3 linked regions of the Mus musculus genome follow. The protein of the gene in region 1 purifies or fractionates together with the protein of each later gene. This does not show direct contact. Links are inferred from orthologs where the notes say so. Each region holds a gene or a part of one and is shown in the gene's direction. Other genes may lie near its edges.

Region 1 (3,602 bases):
TGATTCCCTTTGATGTAATCATTTGGCAGTTCTCCTAGGCAAGAATAGCAGAGGCCTGGGGAGGGGCAGTGTCACTGCATCTTTACAAGATGCTCAGTACTTGGTTCTGTGCCACATGCTGATGGTTAGACCTGTCCTGGAAACCTGACCAGATAAACTCTTGTTCTTGGTGGCAGACAAAATACAATGATCAGGTCAACAGAAATTTTATAATGTAGTGCTCTGAAAAAAATGCAATGCTAGAGATGTCTGTCCAACACAGTAGCTATAGCTACAAGTGACTGTTGAATAAATATTTATTGAATAAATAATAAATACCAAGAATATTGATATGTGTGACTTGTGTGACATAAATATCCTGACAAATGTACACTAGATTTCAAAGACTTGACCTACAAAAAGAGCATAAATTATCTCATTAGTCATTCTTAGACTTTTCAATTACATGCTTAAATAATTTTATCTTAAATATGTAAAAAATTTGTAAAGTACTAAAATACATATCACCTGTTTATTTTCACTTTTAAAATGTGGCCATCAAGAAAAATTGAAAGTCATGTGTATTTTGCATGCTATTTTTATAGAACAACATTGTGAGGTACAATATAGATTGAGAGCCTTGGGGAAGGCCTATGTAAAGAGTAACATTTGTTTGTTTGTTTGTTTGTTTGTGACAGGGTTGCTCTGTGTAACCATCCTGGCTGTCCTGGAAGTTGCTTTGTAGATAGGGGTGGCTTCAAACTCAACAGAAATCTTCCTGCCTCTGCCTTCTGAGTGCTGGGATTAAAGTTGTGCACTATCACATCTGGCTAAGAGTGACATTTAAGACCTGAAAAAATGAGAGCAAAAAGGAGGCCTGCAAGACTGTGGAAAGATCTTTATGGGACTTCAAAGAAACAAAACCACAAGATCAGAAGTTTAGAGAGAAAGGATAATATGAGTCAGAAGAGAAAGAATAGAGACAGGTGGAAGATGCAATGTGGAATGGGACATCATTTCAAAAGCCAAGGAATTGGCTGGGTTTATACGAAGGACAAAGCCCCTTTTACAGAAAGCGTCCCCAGGAGGAGATGGTGATCAGACAAAAGTCTCACCATGACTCACTCTCTCATGGTTGTAGCTGCAGGAACTAACTGCTATACCCTGTACTTACAAGGCATAAGAATTTGATACCTTGTGTGGAATAATTCAGTCTTGTATAAAGCTTAACTTTGTCTTCTTTCCTTCTTATCTTCCCCTATAGTGTTTGGAAGCAGATGCACTGTTACTCACAGCTGGGGGAAATTTGGAGGATGAGCTAAGAGAGGAGGTAGTCCAGAGAGTTTCTCTTCTTCTCCTCTACTACATAATTCATCAGGAAGAGATCTGTTCTTCCAAGCTCAACATGAGCAACAGAGAATATGAGTTTTACCTGCACAGCCTACTCGGCCTTAGGCAGGATGAAGACTCCTATTTCCTTTCAGAGAAGGAGACTGATGACATCTTGGCTTTCACCAGGAAGTACTTTGGCACTTCCAGTAGCCAGGTAAGAAGTGAGGAACAGCTGAGCTGTAGGCTTGTTCATAGTTTTGCCACTTACTCCTAGGACATGGATGAACTTCTAAGAGAGATATGTACTTCTGGTTTAACTCTAGGATAGTGACATAATCCAAAAGTTCAAGTGGAAATGGAATGATTAATGGTAGATGACTTTTAGTCAGAAGCTGGGTGGGTAGGCAGGCCAGGTGACAGGACAGCTCTCATCTCCTGAATAACAATGACTCAAAGCTTTTGATCCACATCCAAGAGATGAACTACAGTGGTCAAAAGCCATGTGTCCATTTGTCATGGCTTCTGGTCAAAGAAGAAGGCAGAAACAGTTTAAGAGATGATTTATCATTAGTGATTTCACTGATGAAATCACTTGTAAAAGGATTACTGCTTAGCCTTGTGTGTCCGGGCTCCTTCTCATCTACCCCTAGCCCCAACTCTCAGGTCATGGGTACCTGCTTTCATTACTATTCTAGAAATGCTTGCCTTTCAAGCATACTTTCTGATGCACAATGGGAAGTTTCAGCAAACAAAGGTATCTGAATGCAATGTTTTTGTTATTATTATTATTATTATTATTCTCATTATATGGAGTTGAGGATATGCCTCAGCAGGTGACATGCTGGAAGCATGAGCACAGACACCTGCATTTGGGTCTCTAGTACCTATGTAAAAACCAGGGGTTACAATTACTCCTGCAATCACCAGGTTGGAGGGGAAAAGGCAGTTATTTGGGAATTGTGGTCAGTCAGTCTAGCCAAAATGGCAACCTTCAGGTTTATTGACAGACAGTGTCTCAAAAAATAAAGGTAGAGGATAATTATTAACATTGACTTCTGGCTTCTACATGGTCACACTCAGGACACTTACACATTTACACACATATGCCTATACCACACACACACACACGCACACACACACACACACACACACACAACACACACACACACCATCATCGTTGTCGTCGTCGTCATTATCATCATCGTCGTCATCATTGATACTGGGGATTGAACCCAGGGCTTTATGCTTACTAGGCAAGAACTCTGCCACTGAGCTACACCCTCTGCTTCATAAATCTTGAGTCATAGTCCCAGAAGAGTTCTTTGAGGACCCATACCACAATTTGAAGGGGGTATGAACATTATTTATGAAACAATGGTTGTGAATCTTTATTATCTTTTGAATTATTCATTGATTTGTAAAAAACAAGCTTTGCCGCAGACCCTCTGGGTCCCTTTGTCTGTGTGGAATGGGTCTCTGGTTGCAGGTGGGCAAAGAGTCGGCAAATGACAGACAGACCAACATGCAAGATTGTGTAGAATCTGAATGTAATTTGTCAAATTGAGCATCAAATTTTTTATACAGAAGAAAATAGGAAAGTTAGGAGGAAAAGTCTCTGTTAGCCTGTTCTGTCTCAACAACCAACAAACACCCTTTCTATATATTACAAATGTACTTAATTTCTCTTTTAACTTGGTATACAAGGAAAAACATATTTACTAAGAACCTTGCAAAGATCTTATGGCACCTCCAATCTTGTGAATATTAATCTTTGGCCTAATTGATCCTGTTCCAATGTTAGAAAAAGGTTCCTTGATGGAATTCAATTTTTAGCTTGAACACCTCCTTAAGTGTTCCTAACTGTAACATCTTCATTGTGATTTCTCTATGATGTTAAATTGGCTCGAATTATCTACTAGGATTTTAGACATCCTGTCCCCTTACTGCCTTTTGATGCAGATTAAATAGAAATGAAAATCCAGTACTTAAAGCAAAATGGTGGGTATGAGTGGGTTTCTACTTATGCTGCCCACATAGTCAGTGGTCAGTCTTTGTGGTATTTGTAAGATCAAACATCTATAGAGAATAAAATAACAGGACACAGAAAACTACTTTTTTTCCCCATCGGGTTAACAAGAGTAAACTACTGTCATGCACCTTTCTTTGCTTTAGCACAGTGATCTCCTAAAGATACCAATGTATGTATATGACTTCTGGATGGTTCCTGTAGTCTATTTAACCACAATGACTTAGGTAGTCAGTCAGTCCAGCCTTTGCAGAAGGCTGGTGAC
Region 2 (4,250 bases), about 140 Mb from region 1:
TGGAACCCCAATCCTCAGGTATACTGAGGAAATGCTATCACTGAGCTATATTCAGCTCTTTTTATTTGTGTTATTTTGAGACAGAAGCCGCTAAATTGCCTGGGTTGGCCTCCAATCTGCAACCCTCCTGATGTCAGCTTCTGTAATAACTTCAGGCATGTCCTACCAGGGCTATTTGTTCTTTTGTTTTTCTATAAAGATTTTATGACTGATAGGTCAAAACTATCTTTAAGCATTTAATTTCCTTTTTGAATATTCAAATCTATAGTACTATTTTGTTGATGTTTTAAAGACTGTAGATATTCATACAGTATGAACATAGGTTATAATATAGCAAAAATGGTAAAGAAATTCTTGAATTGCAAGTTGTAACTATCATTACAAAGGCAACAACATAATCCATTACATTTCTAAGTTCCTATTAAATCTTTATCAGTTGCCAATATTTTTCAAACTGATTACATGCATGTTGAAATTACAAAAGTAACTCATTAGTAAAATGCATGCTATATCAAACAAAACAAAAACTATTAAAAGCTACAACGTGTCCTTTCATTTTTTTTCAGGTGGATTGAATTATTAAATTTGGATGTCAGAGTGCAAATTCCTCTTTGAAACGGATTTCCTTGCCTTCTTACCAGTCCTAATCGTTCTTATGAAGATCCAAACTTTAATAGAAGACTTCAAAGCATACGCAGGCAGTTCATTTTCTTACATTCAGCGAAAGAAAAAGTGAATATATGGGAGGCAGAGGCAGGCGGATTTCTCAGTTCGAGGCCAGCCTGGTCTACAAAGTAAGTTCCAGGACAGCCAGGGCTACACAGAGAAACCCTGACTCGAAAAGACAAAAAAAAAAAAAAAAAAGTAAATATAAACTTGTTTAAACAATACATTAGCTACTGGAGTCTCTCTCTCTCTGTAAAGCTTTTTTGTTGAGTATATCAAATCTAGAGAACATCTGGGGCTCTAGCTTTTTAGGGGCGCCAAATGCCCTAAAGAGGGAGTAGAGAGAGCCTATTTTGCCCAGCAAACGGAGCTAGTGCCCTCAAGGACTCCCTAGCACCCTCCCCATTCGGACCACTTAGATCTTAGATAGGGCCTGCCTCAGTTCGTAGGCAGAGGGCACCTGAGTTGCACCTAAAGCAACCCAGCAGGAGAATCCAAACTGGCCCTAATCCGTTTCGTAAACGCACTAAGACCCTTCAGACTAGCCCTGCCCTGAAAATGACCCGCAGTTTCAGCTTATTCCGCCCTTCTCCAAGATGGCTGTGGCTGGCGCTGGGGATGCTGGGCGCGCTGCTTGTGAAGCGGAGCTGCCGGGGGCGTGTCTGGGGCGGGGCTTCCTGGACTCGTGCGCTGATTGGCCGCGGTGGCCGACCGGCCTCCGGCGCTGGTCCATAGCGGGCGCCGCGGCCTGGGGCTGGGATGTGACCCGCAGTGGGCTCCCGGCTCCGGGTGGTGACGGCTGTGAGCGGCGGCGACTGCAGCGAGGTCGGCGCAGGCGGGCGGGCGAAACCAGGGCGCCGAGAGCTGCTGCCGACAGGGCCGCGGGATGAGGAAGCGGACCGAGCCCGTCACCTTGGAGCATGAGCGCTGCGCCGCCTCAGGCTCGTCCTCCTCCGGCTCGGCCGCCGCGGCGCTGGACGCCGACTGCAGCTTGAAGCAGAACCTGCGTCTGGCGGGCAAGGGGACGGCAGAGCCGCACAGCGCATCCGACGCGGGCATGAAGCGGGCGCTGGGCAGGTGAGATGCGGTGCAGACACGCGCGGGCCCCTCACCTGGAGGGCAGGTAGTCCCAGGCTCCCACCTTCAGAGATCTGCTGCGGGAGCATCACACGGTTCCATCCTCCCGGCGTCCTCTTCGACCCTTCTAAAGACTACCTCCCCTCGTCTGGCCCGCAGGGACCGTCCAACCCCATTCTTTCCTCCAAACATCTGCCTCTGGAGCTCTCCTTCAACCCCCATCTCACCCTCCCACCCCCTCCACGAGCTGCTCACTAACCCACCCAGCACCCTGGCTGGCATCCTTATCAGGTTAGCCTGCAGAGATACTTAGTGGTTGAGTCCATAGTAATCAGGGGCCCAGTATTCCTGACTGGCTCTGGAAAGAGTCTCCCGAGGAGTTTGAAAGGCTGCCCTTAAGAAGAGGACCACGCAGGGTGAACGGCAAGACCAAAGACCCTGCAAGTGCTCTTAGCCAGTTCACCTGCTTTGCCTTGACCGTATATGGAGCTCAGTAGCAACTCTCCTGTCTGGTCCTTCCCTTCGCTAGCTAATCGCAGGTCAGAGCTGCATTCACCGACCCCCTTTCAAGGGTTAAGCCGTTTTCAGAATCCAAAGGAAAGGATGGATGGATGCATCCATTCTCAGCTGTTGGAGAGAACTGGTGGTTGTCTATGCAGGTAGTTAGTTACAAAGCACTTGAAATCTGCACAGGAATTGGTCATTGAAAATTACTCTGTAAGGTCCTGGAATCTTCTGGGATTGGTCGGTGAGTTAGACTTGCATCCTTCTTTTAGGATGGAGAAGAGGCAGTTATGTAAAGCTGATCTCAAAATTGAGTAGCCTGTTTTATATAGGAATAGGTTTCTTTCCCTCTATCTGGTTTCTTAATTTGATAGTTTGTAGACTATTATCTCTGTTGGCAGTTTTGAAGCCTTGATAGTGTATGACCAGAAATATTAGTTTGCAATGTTCCTAAGTCAGGAGTTGTAGCAGTCATTTCTTTTTGCATCAATTGATCGTTTGTTGTATATGTTAAACATTTACCCAAGAAAGAAAATCAGAGCTTGAAGCTCTGTGCTTAAAAGATCATGAACTTCAACTACCGAGATCTTTAAGTCAGTGATTCTCCATCTTGCAGAAAGACCAGAACTGGCTGTTTGTAGGTAAAATTTACTACCAGAGCGTGGGTGAGATTGCTGATCTGGGGAAGGCTCCTGCCATCAGGCCTAATGACCTGAGATCTATCCTTCTTGTGACTTAATGGTGAAAGGAGAGAACTGTCTCCCATAAGTTGGCTTTTGACCTCCATGCAGACCACCTCACATACATGCACACAAAATAAATGGATAGCATGTAATTAAAAATGAACTAGCAGGTGATCAATCTTTTGAAAGACTTATGTACTCTTTACTTTGTCTTAAGAAAAGTTTACCTTCTTTAAAATCCCTTGATAATTCGATTGCACTTTTATTCATATGCTTTGCATATAGCTTAGATAACTTAGAAATTCTTTCGTTGAAAAAAAATCAAATTGCTATGTACAGCCATGTTTGGGAGGCCAGCAGGAATACTGCTCTGACACCTTCCTTGCATTAAAAGGACCTGATTGATATTGTAGTACAAAGAGAATCATTCAGATGGTGCCCACATCCTCTGAATGAACAGAGGCTTTGGGGGAATAAAGCATAATGAAGGAAGGCCAGATCGGACCGGACCATTACTCCATAGTTGTTTTCCCCTGTTGCCTTGGCCAGGCTTTCTGGCGCTTCACTCAGGCCAGCCCAGCGCAGCCCTGTTTACCGTCTTACTTACCTGACTTTGTAACGCATGAATACTTGTTGAGTTGTTTTACCTGTCTCCTCCCCAACAAGAATGGAAATGCAATGAGAGTAGGTTGCTCTCTCCACCTCTGCATTCCCAGGGCATGCCAAGAGATAGCAAACAAACAAACAAGCAAACAAATAAAATTTAAAAAGCCCGTTGAGTAAGTGAGTATCTACGGAATAAATTCCTAGAAGTGGAGTTGCTGGCCGGAGGGTGTGTTGATAACTAGCAGGTAAAGCCAAAGTCCGCACTGAAGAATTAGTACTGATCGTGACCTCTGTCAGTGTAGGTTGCCTGCTCCTAAGACATTTGGACCTTGCTTATTTCTTTTAACTCTTCTTTTTGGATACTTGTAGCGACATGCAAGTGGATAAAATCTTCTGATGGCCCTCTATCTGTCACACACTTTTAAGCTGTCACTGTTTAGCATCTAGAATCATTCCTCTTCTCGCCATTTTTTCCCCTCAGGGTGGGAACTAGACTATTTTTGAGCAGATTTTATTTATAAGTACTTTAGAATTACTTGAATGAAAAGAAGTGATTTGAAACAATGTAATAGTGGGGTATCATATATCAGCTATGTATAACATCCAGTCTGCACAGCCATTTCCTAAAATCTCAGAAATGCCTTACTGATTACTTTATCTTAAAATTCTGTTTTTCTTTTTCTTTGTTCCCTATGTACTTCCTTTAGAAAAATT
Region 3 (4,325 bases), on another chromosome or scaffold:
GGGCTGCAAGGAGGGGCCAATGCAGGGGCTAGCGGGGGAGGGCAGAGCCTCATTGTTCTGCAGAATGTAGGGAGTGGGGAGACAGGACCACAGGAAGTGAGTGGGGTCCAGCTTCAGCCAGCACAGGAAGTGGCCACGGTACAACTACAGCCTGCACAGGAAGTGACTACAGTCCAGCTACAACCAGCACAGGAGGTGACTACGGTCCAGCTCCAGCCCCTGACAGGCCAAGTCTCCAATTCTAATGGAGGAGCTGGCACTACAGAAGCTCCAAACCTGCTGCTGGTTCAGAGTGGGGCAACTGAAGAGTTGCTGACCGGCCCTGGGCCCGGGGAAGTGGGAGACAGTGAGGCCGGTGCTGGTGTGGTCCAGGACGTCCTGTTTGAGACACTGCAGACAGATGAGGGGCTGCAGAGTGTGCTGGTGCTGAGTGGGGCGGATGGTGAGCAGACTAGGCTCTGCGTGCAGGAGGTGGAAACGCTTTCCCCCGGTCTGGCGGAGCCAGCGGCCACTGGCCCATCAGGACAGAAACTCCTTATCATTCGTAGCGCCCCAGCTACTGATCTGCTAGAAAATAGCAGCGTTGCAGGAGGCACCACAACACTGCAACTCCTGGCCCCGTCAGCACCTGGCCCGGTCTCTGCCCCTGTGGGGGTGCCCGTAGCTCCCCCGTCCCAGATGGTACAAGTGGTCCCCGCAGTGGCTGGACCAGGGGTCATGGCTCCCCAGAACTTGCCCTCCATCCAGATTGTGCAGACTCTTCCTGCAGTCCAACTGGTACACACGTTTTGAAGAGACCCCCTCCCCGCAATTAACTGTTCTCCTCAGCTGGGCTGGGGTCAGCCCCAGAGTCAGGGGGGCTGCTGGCTGGACTTGCTAATAAAGACCCAGAATCTCTTCCTGGTTTTGTTTTCATGGGGGAGGTATAGTCATGGGCATAGCCCCTGCTTCAGACCTGGAAGTCTTCATTCTTGCTTCCCGGATCTGAGGTGACTTGCTTTGTACTTGGAGGGCTAAATGCTTCTCCGGGGTGGGGTCCAGCTCCCCCATCCTTTAAACTGTTAAGGCTTTTACTGTGCTGGGGGTGGGAGGGCGGGTACACTTGCAGAGGACAGAGAGACAGTGGGAGTCAGTCATGTGGGTTTCCTTTTGGCAAGCTCTCTTACTCCCTGAGCTATTTCTCTGGTCCTTTCCCAACCTTTGTATGTATTCGTCTGTAGTTGTACTTATAGCAGGGAGGGTTAGGGATCAATTTCTGGATTTTCCACTTCTTTCCTATAAACCACCCTTACCTCACCTGAAAGGTAGGTAGAGGAATATTATTAATTCAAACGATACCCCAGGTGCCTCCGGGTTGAGAATAAGGTCTCAGCTGATGGGGATGCTTGATGCTACCCCTCATCCCTTCCCTCAAAGACCCAAGCGCCAATGAGATTAGGTTCACAAGCAACGCCTCCTCTTCCTGATGCTCAGGTCGCTTAGCAACGAAGGACCAGCAAGAAAGGAGCTGTGCTAATCCTCCCAGGCAGGCCGGGTAAGAAACCCTCTCTGTCCCCCACTCCCATCCCCCCTTCTCCAAGGTTCTCCCACTGGCCTCCAGCAGGTCACAGCTCTTCCCTCGTCCTCGCAGTTTCCTCCATTACTCCCAACCCCTGCCCCATAGTGGGGGAAGCTTGGCAACAGTTGCTAAGGTGCCGGTCTTGCCTCCAGTCGGGAGCGTGGACGTCACTTCCGGTGGTGACCCTCTCCTGCCCCTGCCCCCCTTCTCCCTTACTGTCAAGGGATTCGAGCAACCCCGTGGAGGTGCCTTTCAGGGCCCTGTTTCTGCTATGTGGGGTGGGACCACTTCAGGAGACCGGCTGCTGGAGTTTGGATAGGGGATGAGTTTACAGGCAGATCAATGAATGTCTTCTCCGGAGTGGGGGACGATTCGGGACGATTTTCAGAGCCCCACTGGGTATGGAGGCACCTGGCCTGCCACTGTGACAGTCTTCTTTGGCAATGCTCTAGGGTCCTTGGCGATCTGGGAAACACTGCGGCCCATCCCTCCCAGGGCTCTTAGAACTCAGGTGCCCACCTAACACCAACCTACTTGTTTTCAGCAGGTGTACAACGTCAGCTCCCTTGGGGAGGGGCCTGCCTGGGGGCTACCATGGCCCCTAACCACCTGTCAGTGCGGGAAATGAGGGAAGATGAGAAGCCCCTGGTGCTGGAGATGCTGAAGGTGAGAGGCCGGCAGGGGCACCAGTGAGCATGCGCAGCTTCTTAGGGCCATTCAAAGTGGGTTCCATCAGCCCCGCCCACCTGCCTGAGCTCCGGGGGTCCTGGGGGAGGGGATTTTCGCCTCAGCTGTTTTTAATTGGTCTCTTTTCTCTACTGCCTTCTCCCTACTTAAACCTCAGCTGCCATTTTTAAAAAAGCAATTGAAAGGGTGTAGGGGCTGGGTGTTCAGGTCTCTTGACCTCCATTCAGCCCCACTTACCAGTCCCAAAATGAGGGCTACTGAGACACACACACACCCCAGACCTTCCAGCGAAGAGCCCATGTCTTCACTTTGCCTATCCTGTTCAGTCTCCTTTGGTGCGTTACCTTAGCATGCCATCCGGACTCATGGGCCTCAGGTCCTAAATCAGTTCATTTCATTCGGGCAAACCGCATTCATTCGCTCAGCCCTTAACACCCAATGGGCCAGACTGGGACCACCCCATCCGCTGGCTTCTCTTCTCACTTGAGAAGAGAAATCCTTCCTCGGAAGTTCTTATGTGATGAATGGCTGAGCCTCTACTCCCACCCACAGGCTGGTGTAAAAGACACGGAAAACCGTGTGGCCCTCCACGCTCTGACACGACCTCCAGCCCTTCTCCTCCTGGCTGCAGCCAGCAGCGGACTGCGCTTCATCCTGGCCTCCTTCGCCCTGGCCCTCCTGCTGCCCGTGTTTCTGGCTGTAGCCGCTGTGAAGCTGGGTTTGCGAGCCCGATGGGGCTCTCTGCCTCCACCAGGCGGCCTGGGAGGGCCCTGGGTGGCTGTCCGTGGCTCCGGCGATGTGTGTGGAGTCCTGGCTCTGGCCCCTGGTGCCAACGTGGGGGATGGAGCCCGAGTCACCCGCCTCTCTGTCTCTCGATGGCACCGTCGCAGGGGCGTGGGCAGAAGGCTGCTGGCCTTTGCCGAGGCTCGAGCCCGAGCATGGGCTGGAAGTATGGGGGAGCCTCGGGCCCGGCTCGTGGTCCCAGTGGCTGTAGCCGCTTGGGGGGTGGCAGGGTTATTGGAGGCCTGTGGCTACCAGGCAGAGGGAGGCTGGGGCTGCATGGGCTATATGCTGGTTAGGGAATTCAGCAAAGACCTGTGATTAGAGACCATGCCCACTGGATAGATGGGCAGAGAACCAGCACCTAAAGAACACCTACTGTGTGCCAGGCACTTTACATCCCCCCCTCAGTGTCTACCTAGTCTGCTGGGCTGATAGTGAAGCACCGAGGTTGATGGACTTACATTCCCAGTGTGCCTGCCAGCTGCAATGAGGACTCTAAACTCAAGTAGAACAAATCCCTTCTTGGTCTTCTGGGACCACTAGAGGTCACCGTGTCCAGTCCTTTGCCTCACCCCCACTGCCCCAGTCTGTATGCACTGAAAAACGTCGGGTTCTGGGTCTACAAAGCCCCTGCTGCCTGTGTTTGAGGTCTGGAAGGGAGATTTGAGGAAAGAGAGAGAGAGAGAGAGAGAGAGAGAGAGAGAGAGAGAGAGAGAGAGAGAGAGAGAGAGAGAGAGACTAAAAGTTAGAGTCTGTGACAGGGAACTCCCAAAGGGGACAGATCTTCTGGGAGTGGGTGGGGCCAGGAGCACAGTGTCTCCAAGCCCATCTGGTTTTTTACACTGTTTGTTAATAAACCCTGAAACTTCTGTGTGCCTGTCTCCTGTCTGATGCATTTTCCAGCTGCTCTCTCCAGACTCCCTCCTTCTGTCTGGCTCCTCCTCTCCGAAGAAGTTGACATTAATTGCTAGGGAAGTGTGTGTGTTGGGGGGGGGGGGGGGGCGCTGGGAAGAGGAGAAGCAGTGAGCTCACAGCGGCAGCCAGTCTTTGCCAGGCCTTCTGAGTCATGCTCCCCATTACCAAAGTTTTCCCCCTCACAGCTGCCTGGTGTGTGTGTGTGTGTGTGTGTGTGTGTGTGTGTGTGTGTACCCCCTCCAGACCGAAGCCTTGACCCCTCAGTCTCTCTACCCTCCATACCTTTGTTCTGGGAACTGGTAATAAGTTCAGACACTCTTTTCTCGAATCGGCACTGGGAGCTTCCCATCCAGATTTACCACAGTGGGTGACAAATGGACAG

Evidence for each region.
Region 2: the proteins of Slc39a12 (region 1) and Abhd12 purify together in Homo sapiens (co-immunoprecipitation; 3 studies listed by BioGRID and IntAct, counting the BioPlex papers as one, with this or other methods). This does not show direct contact. The link is inferred for Mus musculus from reciprocal best matches to the Homo sapiens genes SLC39A12 and ABHD12.
Region 3: the proteins of Slc39a12 (region 1) and Nat14 purify together in Homo sapiens (co-immunoprecipitation; 3 studies listed by BioGRID and IntAct, counting the BioPlex papers as one, with this or other methods). This does not show direct contact. The link is inferred for Mus musculus from reciprocal best matches to the Homo sapiens genes SLC39A12 and NAT14.

Annotation. Positions count from the first base shown.
Region 1 is NC_000068.7:14,394,829-14,398,430, forward strand, and holds part of Slc39a12 (zinc transporter ZIP12 precursor), read left to right. Parts: intron 1-1,243; coding exon 1,244-1,525; intron 1,526-3,602. UniProt on the Homo sapiens protein: Uniporter that promotes Zn(2+) import from the extracellular space to the cytoplasm across the cell membrane. The transport activity is temperature dependent. May play a role in neurulation and neurite extension.
Region 2 is NC_000068.7:150,901,850-150,906,099, reverse strand, and holds the start of Abhd12 (lysophosphatidylserine lipase ABHD12), read left to right. Parts: upstream 1-1,368; 5' UTR 1,369-1,552; coding exon 1,553-1,743; exon of another isoform or gene 1,744-2,034; intron 2,035-4,250.
Region 3 is NC_000073.6:4,921,106-4,925,430, forward strand, and holds Nat14 (N-acetyltransferase 14), read left to right. Parts: upstream 1-1,480; 5' UTR 1,481-1,534; intron 1,535-1,540; exon of another isoform or gene 1,541-1,957; intron 1,958-2,102; 5' UTR 2,103-2,152; coding exon 2,153-2,224; intron 2,225-2,797; coding exon 2,798-3,346; 3' UTR 3,347-3,901; downstream 3,902-4,325. Other genes in the region: Zfp628 (zinc finger protein 628), read left to right, coding at 1-792. UniProt on the Homo sapiens protein: Probable acetyltransferase. May act as a transcription factor that regulates the expression of coproporphyrinogen oxidase by binding to a promoter regulatory element.